Linked DNA regions of Sus scrofa. The protein of the gene in region 2 purifies or fractionates together with the protein of the main gene of each other region. This does not show direct contact. Links are inferred from orthologs where the notes say so. Each region holds a gene or a part of one and is shown on either strand. Other genes may lie near its edges. The genes, in order: NAA38 and NAA30.

Region 1 (5,862 bases), on a different chromosome or scaffold from region 2:
CTATGAGGAAAAAGAACCCCGTCCTTCCCAGCCCCGGCCAATTTTAAAAACACGGACCTTCCCCTCACAACCCTCCCCTCCCCTTTTCTTTTTAAGCGTGAAACAGCCCAGGGCCAGGGCCTCACTGGGGCAGGGACACCCGGGATGAGTTTCTCTGGGGCTTGATTTTCGTTCTGTCGGTTGTTTTTTCTCCTCCACGCTGGGGCTGCGGAAGGGTGGGGGGTTTACAGTCCCGCCCCCTCGCACTGCACTGTCTTTCTGCCCCAGGGGCAGAGGGGTCTTCCCAACCCTCCCCTTATTTTCGGTGATTTTTGTGTGAGAATATTAATATTAAAAAATAAAAGAAAAAAAATCCCGTTTTGATAGCGTGCTGGTGGGTGATAGCAGGGGGAGTACCGGGAGGAGGGCGGCGAGCCGTGATGGATGGGGAGGGACCGCTCGGACCCCGGCGAGGGTGGTGAGCCCCTCCCCGGAGGCGCCTGTGGAATGTCCAGAGCTCTGGTCGTTCCTCCGTTTGGGGGGGCGCCTAATCCTGGAGCCGCATTCCAGGATAAGGGGGGTGGGGAGAGGCCGGGCCGGGGGAGGGGCAGGAAAGAGGGCTATAAGGGCCGGAGCCCAGGCGGGAGGGAGCCAGGCGGGCCATGGCGGATGTCCCCGGGGCGCAGCGACCGGTTCCCGGTGGTGGTGGTGGTGGTGGTGGTGGCGGCAGCCCAGAGCCCCGGGACCCCCTGGACTGCTGGGCCTGCGCTGTGTTGGTCACCGCCCAGAACCTGCTGGTGGCTGCCTTCAATCTTCTCCTGCTGGCGCTGGTGCTGGGGACCATCCTGCTACCCGCCGTCACCATGCTAGGCTTTGGCTTCCTCTGCCACTCCCAGGTGAGCGGGCGGCCCGTGTGGGCGTGTGGGGATGGGGGCGGTGGGGTCTGCGGGTCACCACTCCCGGCCCGGGCTGCCTGGCTTGGGCCTCACCCCTCTTCTCCTCCCACAGTTTCTGCGCTCCCAGGCACCCCCTTGCACCGCGCACCTGCGGGACCCGGGCTTCACGGCCCTGCTGGTCACTGGATTCCTGCTCCTCGTGCCGCTGCTCGTGCTTGCCCTGGCCAGTTACCGCCGCCTCTGCCTGCGCCTCCGCCTGGCCGACTGCCTCGTGCCTTACAGCCGAGCCCTCTACCGGCGCCGGGGCGCCCCGCAGCCGCGGCAAACCCGGGCCTCACCCGGGCCTCAGAGGGCCGTTCCAACATCAGGAAAGGTCTGGGTCTGAGGACTCTCGAGTCAAGAACAACCCGGATGACTGCCCTCCCTCCTAGTGGGCCCAAGGACTTGAAGCCCGGGAATCTCCCGACCTACCCTGCCCCCACGCCTGCTTGGGCCGGGTCCTAGCATCCCCTTGGGGAACCGAAGAGCAGGATCTGTGGTCCCAGCGCTGGTGGAAAGAAACTTCGATACACCCTGGGAAACCCACGTTCCCCTCACTACTATCTGAATTCTGAACATCTGGGCTGGACCCTGCACCCCTCCTGCCGCCCTGTGAAGAGGACAACTGAACTTTGCCGGTGCCCTCCTTTTCCGGTGCTGCTCCTAGTATCTGCGGGTGGGGGATGGGGCACGAGGGTGCAGGGTAAGGAGTGATCACACATCAATAAAGAGATAACTGAACGAGATCCTGGGATCCTGTGAACACAGGGGTAGCGCCAATGTTATCACTCTTGCCCTGTGCCCAGGAGCAGGAAACATGGGGGTGGGGGTAGGATGAGGGATGTGTGGCTCTAGCGTGCAGAAGGGAGCATCCTTCGGCCTCCCGGCCTTCCCTTATCGCACTAGCCCGTCCTTCCTGTCCAGACCCCAGAGCCCTTGTCCCTGACCCCAAAGTCACCTCCCCATCAAGAGAGTGGAGGAGGCCCAGCCTGTGTCGCCTGTCCTGCTCCCCTTGGGGATCTGAGCCTGTTCTCTGACCCCAGCTTAGAGGAACTCGGTGTTGCCAGGCCGGGGAGGGAAACAATGGGCCTTCCGGAGCAGGATGACACCACCCCCTCCCGGACCAGCAGCGTGGGAGGGAAGATGGGGCCCACCCTGGGGCCTGTGGGTCTAAGGCTCAGCCTGTCCCCCATCCCCACCCCCGAACCATAAGGGCACCTCTGGCAGCACTAGACGTGGAAGGAGCGCTGAGAGTGCCCCCGACCTCAGATAAACCTCTTCTTCCTCTAGGGGGGAGGTGTGCAATCCTTGCCCCCCGCATCCCAACCACACACAGACACAGGCCATGTCAGTGACAGGTTTAATGAAGTTTGAAAGGCATGCGCGGTCGGGCTCAGAGATAGGGAGGCCCCGCCAGGCTCTCTCTTTGCACCTCAATAGAAACGATGTGGTGTCCAGGTACCATAGCTAGGCCCAGCACACGGGGTTCCCCGGCAGAGAAGGAATCTGGAAAGAAGGATCAGAGCATCAGGGAGGCAGGCCAGCGTCGGTCCCGCCCCTTCTGAGCTACAGCTTCTGGCCCCCGAAAATGAGGGATACAGCCAGGCCCTGAAGGGGAAATGCTCCGAGGCATTCCCAGGCGGGTATGCATTCCCCAGGCACTGACCCGACGGCTTGAGGAACTCCTGCGCCGAGCCTAGGATAACATTGCAGTCGCGGTCGGTGCAGAGGAAGCAACCGACCAGTGTCCGTCCATCTGTCATGCGAATCCGCATAGTCTTGTTGAGCAGCGCCTCCAGCTGCTGCCTAGCGCGCGCAGACGGCGAGTCTTCGCGCTCCCCGTCTGAGTCCTGCGCGGGGCGGGACATGTGCTCAGACCGCACCGCCCCGGCTGCTGCCCGCCCGAGGAACCACAGCTCCCAACAGCCCGCGGGGCGCTCGCAGGAAGCCCAGAGGCTGCCGGGAGCTGCAGTTCTCCCTCCGTCCTCCCACTTTACTCCCCGACGGCCCCTCAATCCCAGAACCCGAGCCCGCGCTAACCCCGGCGCTGGAGCTGCTTTGACGCCGGCTGCAACAGCCATTCTCCTCTCGTAGCAGCATAGTTGGTCCAGCTCCGGCCATTTGTCCGCGGGCCTCCTCCAGGCCCTTCAACTTGCTGAGAACCTTTCGGCTCCGGGGGGTCTGAGATCTCGCGAGCGCTCCCGACCTGTTTTCTTTCGCGAGATCACCTCCCCTCCTCGTCTCCTCGGCAACTGCAGAGATCTCGCGAGCGTCTCCTGCTTCGGCGAACGGCTCGCTGAGGTCTAGGTCGCCGGATGTCCTCAGATATCGCGAGAAGTTTTCACCTCTCTCGGTTCTTACATATCCTTTAGGAACCCTGGAAGGAAGCGAGAATACCTTTTTTCTTAATCGCACTCCCCACTCCCTTGTTTTTCTGCCTCGCGAGATAGTACGTCCCAAGCACTCCCTATAGCCCAGGCCACTCAAAATTAAAACGGAGGGTCTTTTCCTCCCCCCGGAACTCCGGAGGACACCACTCAATTACTTCAACGTCGGAATCGGACCACGTTTCCCGTGAGCCCCACCTCGCCCTCACAGCGTCTGATCTTGACAGACGGTGGCCGGAAAAGGACAATGGTTTCCATGTCAGCGGATAAACGCCCTCTCCTTAGTTCCCGGACGAGAGGGAGGATGCGGTAGTGAGTGCGCGCTGAAAAGCAAGAGCGCAACTGAAGGAGCCGGTGAGAGGGCGAGAGCCATGCTGCGCCGGGGCCTAGTGGCCGGGCCAGACTTTGAGTATTTCCAGCGTCGCTATTTCACGCCGGCCGAGGTGGCCCAACACAACCAGCTGGAAGACCTCTGGGTGTCTTACCTGGGAAACGTGTACGACCTGACGCCGTTGGCACAGGAGTACAAGGGTAAGGGCTGCACTTTTGGGCCGGCGTCGGGCGTGCGTTTGGGGGTGCTTGGTTCTTGGGTGTCTAGCACTGACACGAATGCCCCTTCCCAGGAGACCTGCTGCTGAAACCCATCGTGGAAGTTGCGGGCCAGGACATCAGCCACTGGTTCGACCCAGACACCGGAGACGTGAGTTCTGCTGGAACCTGGGGTTGGGGGGAGGGGCACTGTAGAGCGGGGACGAGGCGGAGGGGCTGACCGGAGCCCGAGATAGTGACTGCTCAGACCCCCCTCCGCCAAACCCTACTTTAAAGATCCGCAAGCACATAGATCCGCTGACCGGTTGCCTGAGATACCGCACCCCCTGGGGCCGCTTTCTGCACGTGCCACCTCAGCTGCCGCGTTCGGACTGGGCCAATGATTTCGGGAAGCCTTGGTGGCAGGGGTCGCGTTACGAGGTGGGGCGGCTGTCCGCCAAGACCCGGACTATCCGCATCATTAACACGCTCACGTCGCAGGAACACACGCTGGAGGTGAGAACTGGTGCCTGGGGGCAGGTGAGAAGGAACTGGGAGTCCCAGCAAACCTCCTCGCAGATCTGCAGGCCAGCAGCTCTCCGTAACTAGTGGCAGCTGTATTTTTTTTCCGCTTTTACGGGTGACCAAGGGAAGAAGACGACCATGTAGGTCCCCGGGGTTAGCAATTCGAGGAGTGGCTGAGCCACAAGGTGTGAGAGACTCCCTCAGAAGTCCAGGGTAGTTTGGGCGTCGTAGTTTGGTCCTCCCAAGTTCATGTTGAATTTTGAACAGCAGTTGCAGGTGGACTCTCTTATTAGCCTGCTCTATTGTGGAGATGAGGTGAGGGGGCAGTGACTTTAGGGCCAACTGTTTATTAGAAGTGGCTGCCCTAAAGGCTGGTAGGATTTGGGGGCCATTCATTGCATGCTGGAGCTCCATCTTTATTTCTGGGACTGTGGAATGCCTTAAGCCACTATCGGCCAAGGGAAGCACTCTGATCCCAGCTCTATCATCTTTGGGGCTCCTGGCCTTTGCTTTGCTTTGTGTGTGTGTGTGCGCGCGGCGCGCGGCGCGCGCGCGAGCTGTATGCACATGGGTGCTTTCCACTCAGGAGACTGGGGGTGGGCTGCTTTTCTGTTCTCCAGGTGGGGGCTCTGGAATCATTGTGGGAAATCCTACACCGCTATCTCCCCTATAATGCACATGCCGCCAGCTACACATGGAAATATGAAGGGAAGAACCTGAACATGGATGATACCCTGGAAGACAACGGTATCTGGGATGAGGAGGAAGAGCTTGATTCTCTCGATGTGGACAGTACACACCATACACCTGCGTTGCTCCTCTACTTCAATGATGACCTCACCGAGCTATAGGGCGGGAGATGGATGCTTATGTAGAGTCAAGACATTTTGAGTTTAGCTGTTTCTGTGCCCCTTAGGAAAAGAGGTGGGAATGGGGTGTGTGTGTTGGGGGGGGGGTGTGTGCGCGTGCACGCGCGGCTAGACTTCTGTTCCACTCTGGGAGCTGGCCTGTGGTTTCCAGGCCCTGCTGAAGCGTAAAGGTCCTACTCCTCCGCTTCATTACAATTTACTTTGAGAAAGTTGGGGAGAATGCCAGAAGTGAAGTAGTTTATAGGAATGATACCAAAAAAAAAAAAAAACAAAAACAAACAAACAAACAAAAAAAACTGTCTTAAGTCAGGGAGATGTAGAAGAAGATAGTCAAATAGAGCTCAGGTGGAGCTTTTTGATAGTAGGAGAAAGAAAAGTCCTTCTTTCCTGGCGATGATGGGAATGGGGTGGCTGCAAGCTTCCAAAGACAGGCATAGGGAATGTCTATCTCTGGCCATACAAAACTGGCTTCTCTCTCTCTTGAATACTATTTGGCAGCTGAAACCCAAAAGGAAGAAAGAAAGTGAATGGTCATCAGATAATTCAGGCCAGATACTACGCTATACGCCTTATACACATCATTTAATATCACCGCCCATAGGATGGGCCCCAGCGCCACTACTGTACAGATACGTCTTC
Region 2 (6,533 bases):
ATAATACTCTTTCCTCATTAACATCGCTGTTCACTGAGAACTACTCTATTCAGTAGAGGATCAAAACATGGTCTCATCAGAAGTTCCCTTGTGGTTAAGGATTTGGTGTTATCAACCTGTGGGGCAGGTCACAACTGTGGTGTGGGTTTGATCCCCAGCGAGGAATCTTCCACATGTCAGTGGGTGCCGCCAAAACAAAACAAACAACAAGAAAAATCACATGATTTTATCATCCCAAAGAGTTCTCCAAATTGTTGAGCAACTTTTGTAAAGCCTGACTTCTCTTCTTGATTAGCTAAGCCAATATGGCTATGGTCCAAATTTACACTAATGATCAAATATATACTCAATTTTTTTTTTTTTTCGGTCTTTTTGAGAGCCGCACTCACAGCATATGGAGGTTCCCAGGCTAGGGGTCGAATCGGAGCTGTACCTACCGGGCTACGCCACATCCACAGGAACTTGGGATCCGAGCCTCGTCTTTGACCTCCACCACAGCTCATGAAAACGACGGATCCTTACTTAGTGAGGCCAGGGATTGAACCAGTGTCCTCATGGATACTAGTTTGGTTCGTTAACTGCTAAGCCATTCTAATGTACACTCACAATTTTATACTTAAATTTTCATTACCAATGATATAGTTAGGTTCACTGCACCTTTTACTTTTTGAAACTAAAAGCTGTGAATGTGAGATCCTTAACTATATGTGAATTATCTTATTTGGGGTAAAATTAAATATCCTTAAATCCCAGGATGACTTCCTTGTGCTGTCCAATGTGTCTATAGTCCTTCTCATACAACCACCATTTAGTGTGATCTGTCAGAATACAAACTACAAATGTGAGTAAGGAGCGTGAGAGTACCCTATTCTAACAAGGAATCGTGTTCATGAGATACTGCTAAGTGGAAAAAGTAGTTAATGCAAAATAATAATTGTGATGTCATTTGTATAGAAGACTATGTGTAAATATTTGCACTCAAATGTGCTCAGAAAGTGGGATGGAGTTCCCGCTCAGCAGTTAACAAACCCGACTAGTATCCATGAGGACTCAGGTTCAATCCCTGGGCTTACTCAGTGGGTTAAGGATCTGGCGTTGCTATGAGCTATGGTGTAGGTTGAAGACACGGCTCAGATCCCGTGTTGTTGTGGCTATGGTGTAAGCTGGCAGCTACAACTCCAATTTGACCCCTAGCCTGGGAACCTCCATATTCCTCGGGTGCAGCCCTAAAAAGACCAAAAAAAAGAAAAAAGAAAATGGGAGGAAGCAAAAATTTAATAGTAGCTATAAGTTGAAAGAAAGAGTTGAAATGTGTGAAGATGGTAAAAGGGACTCTGTACCCCAGAATATAAATATATAATGGCTAACAATTGTGTATAAATTTCATACCAAAAAAAACCTACTTTAAAAAAAGTAACCAAAACAAGTTACTTATTGAGATCCACCTGTTGAGGAAAAAACTGCCTATTTTCAAGTGTGATGAACTCTCTAAAGCACATTTGCCCTCCAGTAATAAAGGCAATTGTTAGTTGTACTGCTCACAAAATTACTAGCACAATACAACTCTGTTCCTTCTTAGTCACCACTGTTATATTAAAGATGATCTTCCCTAGTTTATATTGATTTCTTTCCACACTACATAACAGTAACATTCTTAACATTCCCAACCACCACTATTACTTACTGAGCATCAACCATGTGCAAAGCACAGTGCTGCAGGATACAAAGAAATTATACCTGCCATCAGGCCTTACAAACCAGCTGGAGAGAGATGCTTTTATGTTAATATATAGATAGCTCTACCTTTAAAAAGTGGTTGTCTTCCCCCCTCTAGCCTTACTATTTAATGCTGATTTTTTTTTTAATGTGAAATGTTCTTCAAATGGGCTGACAGCCCACATATTAAAAAAATTTAAAAAAGTACTAGAGAGAAATCAAGGTCAATATCCAAGTAAATTACAATAAGGTCTGTAATAAGTGCTACCTCAAATGATTTAACTGATAATAAATCAGAACTCTAAATCTCAGTTATTTACTGCAAATATCTAAAACTATCTTTATATTTTGACACAGAACAAATTTTAGCTCCCATTTGCATATTAAAATTTGTTCTAGGTCAAAATTCATGTTTTTAAATGGAATGTAATTTTCAACATGTTACATTTGCATAGTATAGTTTGCAATGAAATATGCAGTACAATTTATTATGGGATATTTATAAAAATGCCTAGTAGAATACTGTCCAGGAAAAAAGGTCTTAAACATTTAGACTTACCTCATCACAGTCTCCTTCAACCATGGCATATATAGCTTTCTTAACCAAGTTAGTACCTAGAATATAGAGCTGCGTATTAATGAAGTAAAAATGTAATTAGTTTCTCAAAGATGCTTAAATTATAATATTCATAAGCAAAGAAACATCAAATGCTAAGTTCTATTTTGAATGCAAATACACAGATTATCTCAAGTTAAATGGGGAAAACTTTGAACTGAAAGACCAATAGAACCTTCCATAGCAATGTAAGTTTCCTCTTGAAAGATCTAGCTCCTGATTCATCCTTTTCTCAGGTGTACATGCTATTTTGTTCCAAAAGGCAAGATATGGCCAGAGCATGCCAGGACCTCGGAATGTAGTACATGACTTTTGAGCCAAGCTTGCCAAAAATCACATCAGAATTGCTGGGACCCAGAGTGGGCCCAGGACACTGGCTTAGTTCCTACAAACCTTTTAGTAAGCCTGGGCACACTAAGGTCCAGCACTCCCAAATGATGTTAGTAGTGTGTCTATATCCAAATCTGATGTTAAGAGAAGAAATTCAAATTTTATAAGAAATCTCTTAATTTTAAAACCATGTATACAACCAGCACGCGTTACATGGGCCATACAAAACATGTCTGAGGGCCAGGATGCAATCTTTTAAGGCACTGGTTTCTGCCCTCTGAAGTAGGCCAATCTGGCTACCATTTGCCCTGAGTCCTAATCAGCTCTTTTAACTACATCAAAGACTCAAACCTGACTTATACAACAGGCCCAATTCATTAAAAATCTTAGTGGCAAACTGTAATTCTATAAGAAAAGTTGACTAAACCTAATTAAGTGGACCTATCTATGATGATTTCTCAGAATATCTCGGTATGAAACAGGCTTAAGTAGGACATTAACACTCATAGTTTTAAAAAACAACTACAGGGAGTCGTGGTTCAGTGGTTAACAAACCCAATTAGTAACCATGAGGACTCGGGTTCCATCCCTGACCTCACTCAGTGGATTAAGGATCTGGCATTGCCTTGAGCTGTGGTGCAAGTCACAGACCGGCTAGGATCCCGAATTGCTGCAGCTATAGTGTAGACCAGTGGCTACAGCTCCAATTCAACCCCTAGCCTGAAAACTTCCATATGCCATGGGTGCGGCCATAAAAAGACCACACACACACACACAAAACAAAACCTACAAGTTATAAAACTGCTAGTAACTAAATACTGATACAGGCATCAAATCTTCTTTCATGAATACTCACTCAGCTTCAGTACATTTCAGAATCTGTCATGCTCAGACATATGCTTGTCTACCTGATCCTCCACCTTGAACAAAGAGCCAGTAGGTCCTAGATAAGAGGACAGTGGCTCTTAACCAGGCTTACATCATAGTCACCTGGCGATACTTCAGCCCTACTTCTAACAGGACAAACAAGATTCTCAAGAGGAGGGGCCTAAGCATTTGTTTTTAAACCACTTAGATGATTCTAAAGACCATTATAAACCATGAGTATAAGAACATACCAGAAAAGACATGAATTTGGGAATAGTAGTAAGAAACAATTCTTCTTTCTCCTGGTTCTCCCTAATTGCTAATATAATGTTTGATGACAAGTACACCAAATAATAGTAACAATTTCTCCATAACTTTGCCTTCACTGAGGACCATTTAACCCAAGTACAGATAGCTGCTTGAGGGCTATGATCAAGTGCCCTAAATATGCTACTAAAAACTGCAGAACTTAGCATAATACAAAGCATTTTGGATGTGACAAAAAAAAAATGTTTGGAGGTGAAAACTGATCATCTACTAACTGTTAAAAAGATACCTCTCAAATAATGAAACGTTTTTAAAAATTTTATTTTACTATTTTTTTTTTTTTTAGGGTTGCACCTGCAGCATATGGAAGTTTCCAGGCTAGGGGTCGAATCGGAGCTGCAGCTGCCTGCCCATGCCACAGCCACACTGGATTCTGATCGAATCGGCAACCTATACCACAGCCCACAGATCCGAGCCACATTTTCAGCCTATGCTGCAGCTTGTGGCAATGCCAGATCCTTAACCCAGTGAGCGACACCAGGGATTGAACCCGCATCTTCATGGACACTAGACAGGTTCTTTTTTTTTGTCTTTCGTCTTTTTAGAACTGCACCCACGGCATATGGAAGTTCCCAGACTAGGGGTCTAATCAGAGCTATAGCTGCCAGCCTATGCCAGAGCCATAGCAACTCCAGATCCAAGCCGAGTTTGCGACCTACACCACAGCTCATAGCAACACCAGATCCTTAACCCACTGAGCGAGGCCAGGGATCGAACCCGAAACCTCATGGTTTCTAGTTGGATGAGGGGAACTCCTACTCAGGTTCTTAACCCACTGAACACAACGGCATCTCCTAATTGAACATTAATAAAGGAAATAATTCATTGTAAGATGATTTTGAAAATATTTTGGAAATGAAAACAATTATCTTCCCTTAGTTTCATGTTCATTTCTACATATTATTCACATTTAAGTCTTTTGTTTCAAAAAAACAAAAATGAAAATAACAGGCATTCTTTTTGTGACATAATATTTTTCTTACCAATGCCATTTCTCCTGTATTTGGAATCCACGGCTAACATGGCTATATAACCTCTGCGGAACATCTTTTTGTGCATATCCAACTTGCAAACGATGGCACCTACACACTCCTCCCCTACCATGGCCTTAAAAATAAACAGACAGTTACAAAGAATACATTGCCATCAGGTACTGTACAATTACGGAGGGAAACAGCAACCAACCGCTGGTCAGGGGTTTTGAGGCAGGAAGAAATGAGAATTTTAGCAAGAGAGCAGTCATTTAAGTTTCAGAAATCTAATCCCAGAACTCCTTCAAATGTTCCAGTTTTACAATCTTTCAACATTCTTTAGGCCATGAATTTGTTATGTTCATTATCAAAGCCTTGGGGGAAAAAAAGCAAAATTTCCACATAGTAAACATTCAAGTATTTTATAAGATGTGCTTATAATTAGCTGTAATAAAGACTTACATGTTTAAGATTTGGGAAAGGGAAAACATGTGAAAATAATTTAAGAAAAAGTATTTTCATTAGATATGATAAAACAGTGCTAAAGCTATCAACAGAGTACTATAAATTTATACTTAATTATAATAAAGTTTTAGGGAAAGCCAGCTATAAGATAAAGTATTTATACTACACGGTAGAGTTAGATTTTAATCAGGAAGAAAAAAATGTAAGAGATTTTCAGAAAAAAAGATTTTTTTCAAGGTATTCCTAAGATCCTACCTAAGAAGTTTTTGTTACTGAAGGACTACAAAGACTAGATATACAATGGTCTCATTTTTAGGACTCTCCTGACAGTGTGAGTCATTGCCATAAAGCTCATAGAATACCTAGAACTCAAAATCAAACTTCATATTAAAGCAAAAGCTTTAACATAATTTTTACAGCTTTCTAGCTTAATAAAAATGTACAGCCTTCCAGAGCTAAAAATTACATATTAAATTAGAGCTAATCAGCCTCAATTTTCATTACAATTTTCAGTATCACCATTAAAAATTTGTTTTTCAAAAGTTCTATCACTGACAAGTTCCAGCAATACTTCATTCTGGTAAATATAAATAGGGCAATAGTTCCAATTGTTAAATAATGTGTCAGAGAGAAATAATTGTTTGTTGTAAAGAGCCATCATTAAAAATTATTAAAACTTCAAATTATTCTTAATAAAACTAACTTTTCAGAAGACACTATTTCAACAACAAAAACTAGGACTGCGTTTTAAAAAAAAAATCAATAAGCAAAGCCCAATTTATATTTAACGTATTTTATCTTGAATTTGTTACAATTACTTTTTAAAGTTCATCATTCTGTAAATTGATTTAAAAGCATTTCTTCAACTATGGAAAAATCTTTAGGCAAGAATAATTCTAATCCATTTCACACAAACCTAAACTAGGTCAGAAAAATCCTTTTGAAGGGAAATAAAATTCAACAATCCACACTAATTCATTGTTTCAACAGAATCCAAAATTATTTGGGGGCAACAAACCTCTAAAACTGTTATTTTCTTTTTCTTTTTTTTTTGGCCATGGGTACAGCATGTGAAAGTTTCTGAGCCAGGGATGAAACCTGTGCCACAGCATCAGCCCAAGCCACTGCAGTGACAACGCTGGATCCTTAAACCCACTGTGACACAAGAGAACACACATTTCTATTTTTATTCATACCCATCTGGCTTTTCCAAAATTCTTTTGAAAACTATTATTTCTTTC

Evidence for each region.
Region 1: the proteins of NAA30 (region 2) and NAA38 purify together in Homo sapiens (co-immunoprecipitation; 3 studies listed by BioGRID and IntAct, with this or other methods). This does not show direct contact. The link is inferred for Sus scrofa from reciprocal best matches to the Homo sapiens genes NAA30 and NAA38.

What each region holds. Positions count from the first base shown.
Region 1 is NC_010454.4:53,108,989-53,114,850, forward strand, and holds NAA38 (N-alpha-acetyltransferase 38, NatC auxiliary subunit), read right to left. Parts: upstream 3,260-5,862; 5' UTR 3,036-3,259; coding exon of another isoform or gene 2,996-3,035; coding exon 2,581-2,995; intron 2,421-2,580; coding exon 2,308-2,420; 3' UTR 2,261-2,307; downstream 1-2,260. Other genes in the region: TMEM88 (transmembrane protein 88), read left to right, coding at 642-875, 988-1,260.
Region 2 is NC_010443.5:186,535,275-186,541,807, reverse strand, and holds part of NAA30 (N-alpha-acetyltransferase 30), read right to left. Parts: intron 4,964-6,533; coding exon 4,840-4,963; intron 2,332-4,839; coding exon 2,276-2,331; intron 1-2,275. UniProt on the Homo sapiens protein: Catalytic subunit of the N-terminal acetyltransferase C (NatC) complex. Catalyzes acetylation of the N-terminal methionine residues of peptides beginning with Met-Leu-Ala and Met-Leu-Gly.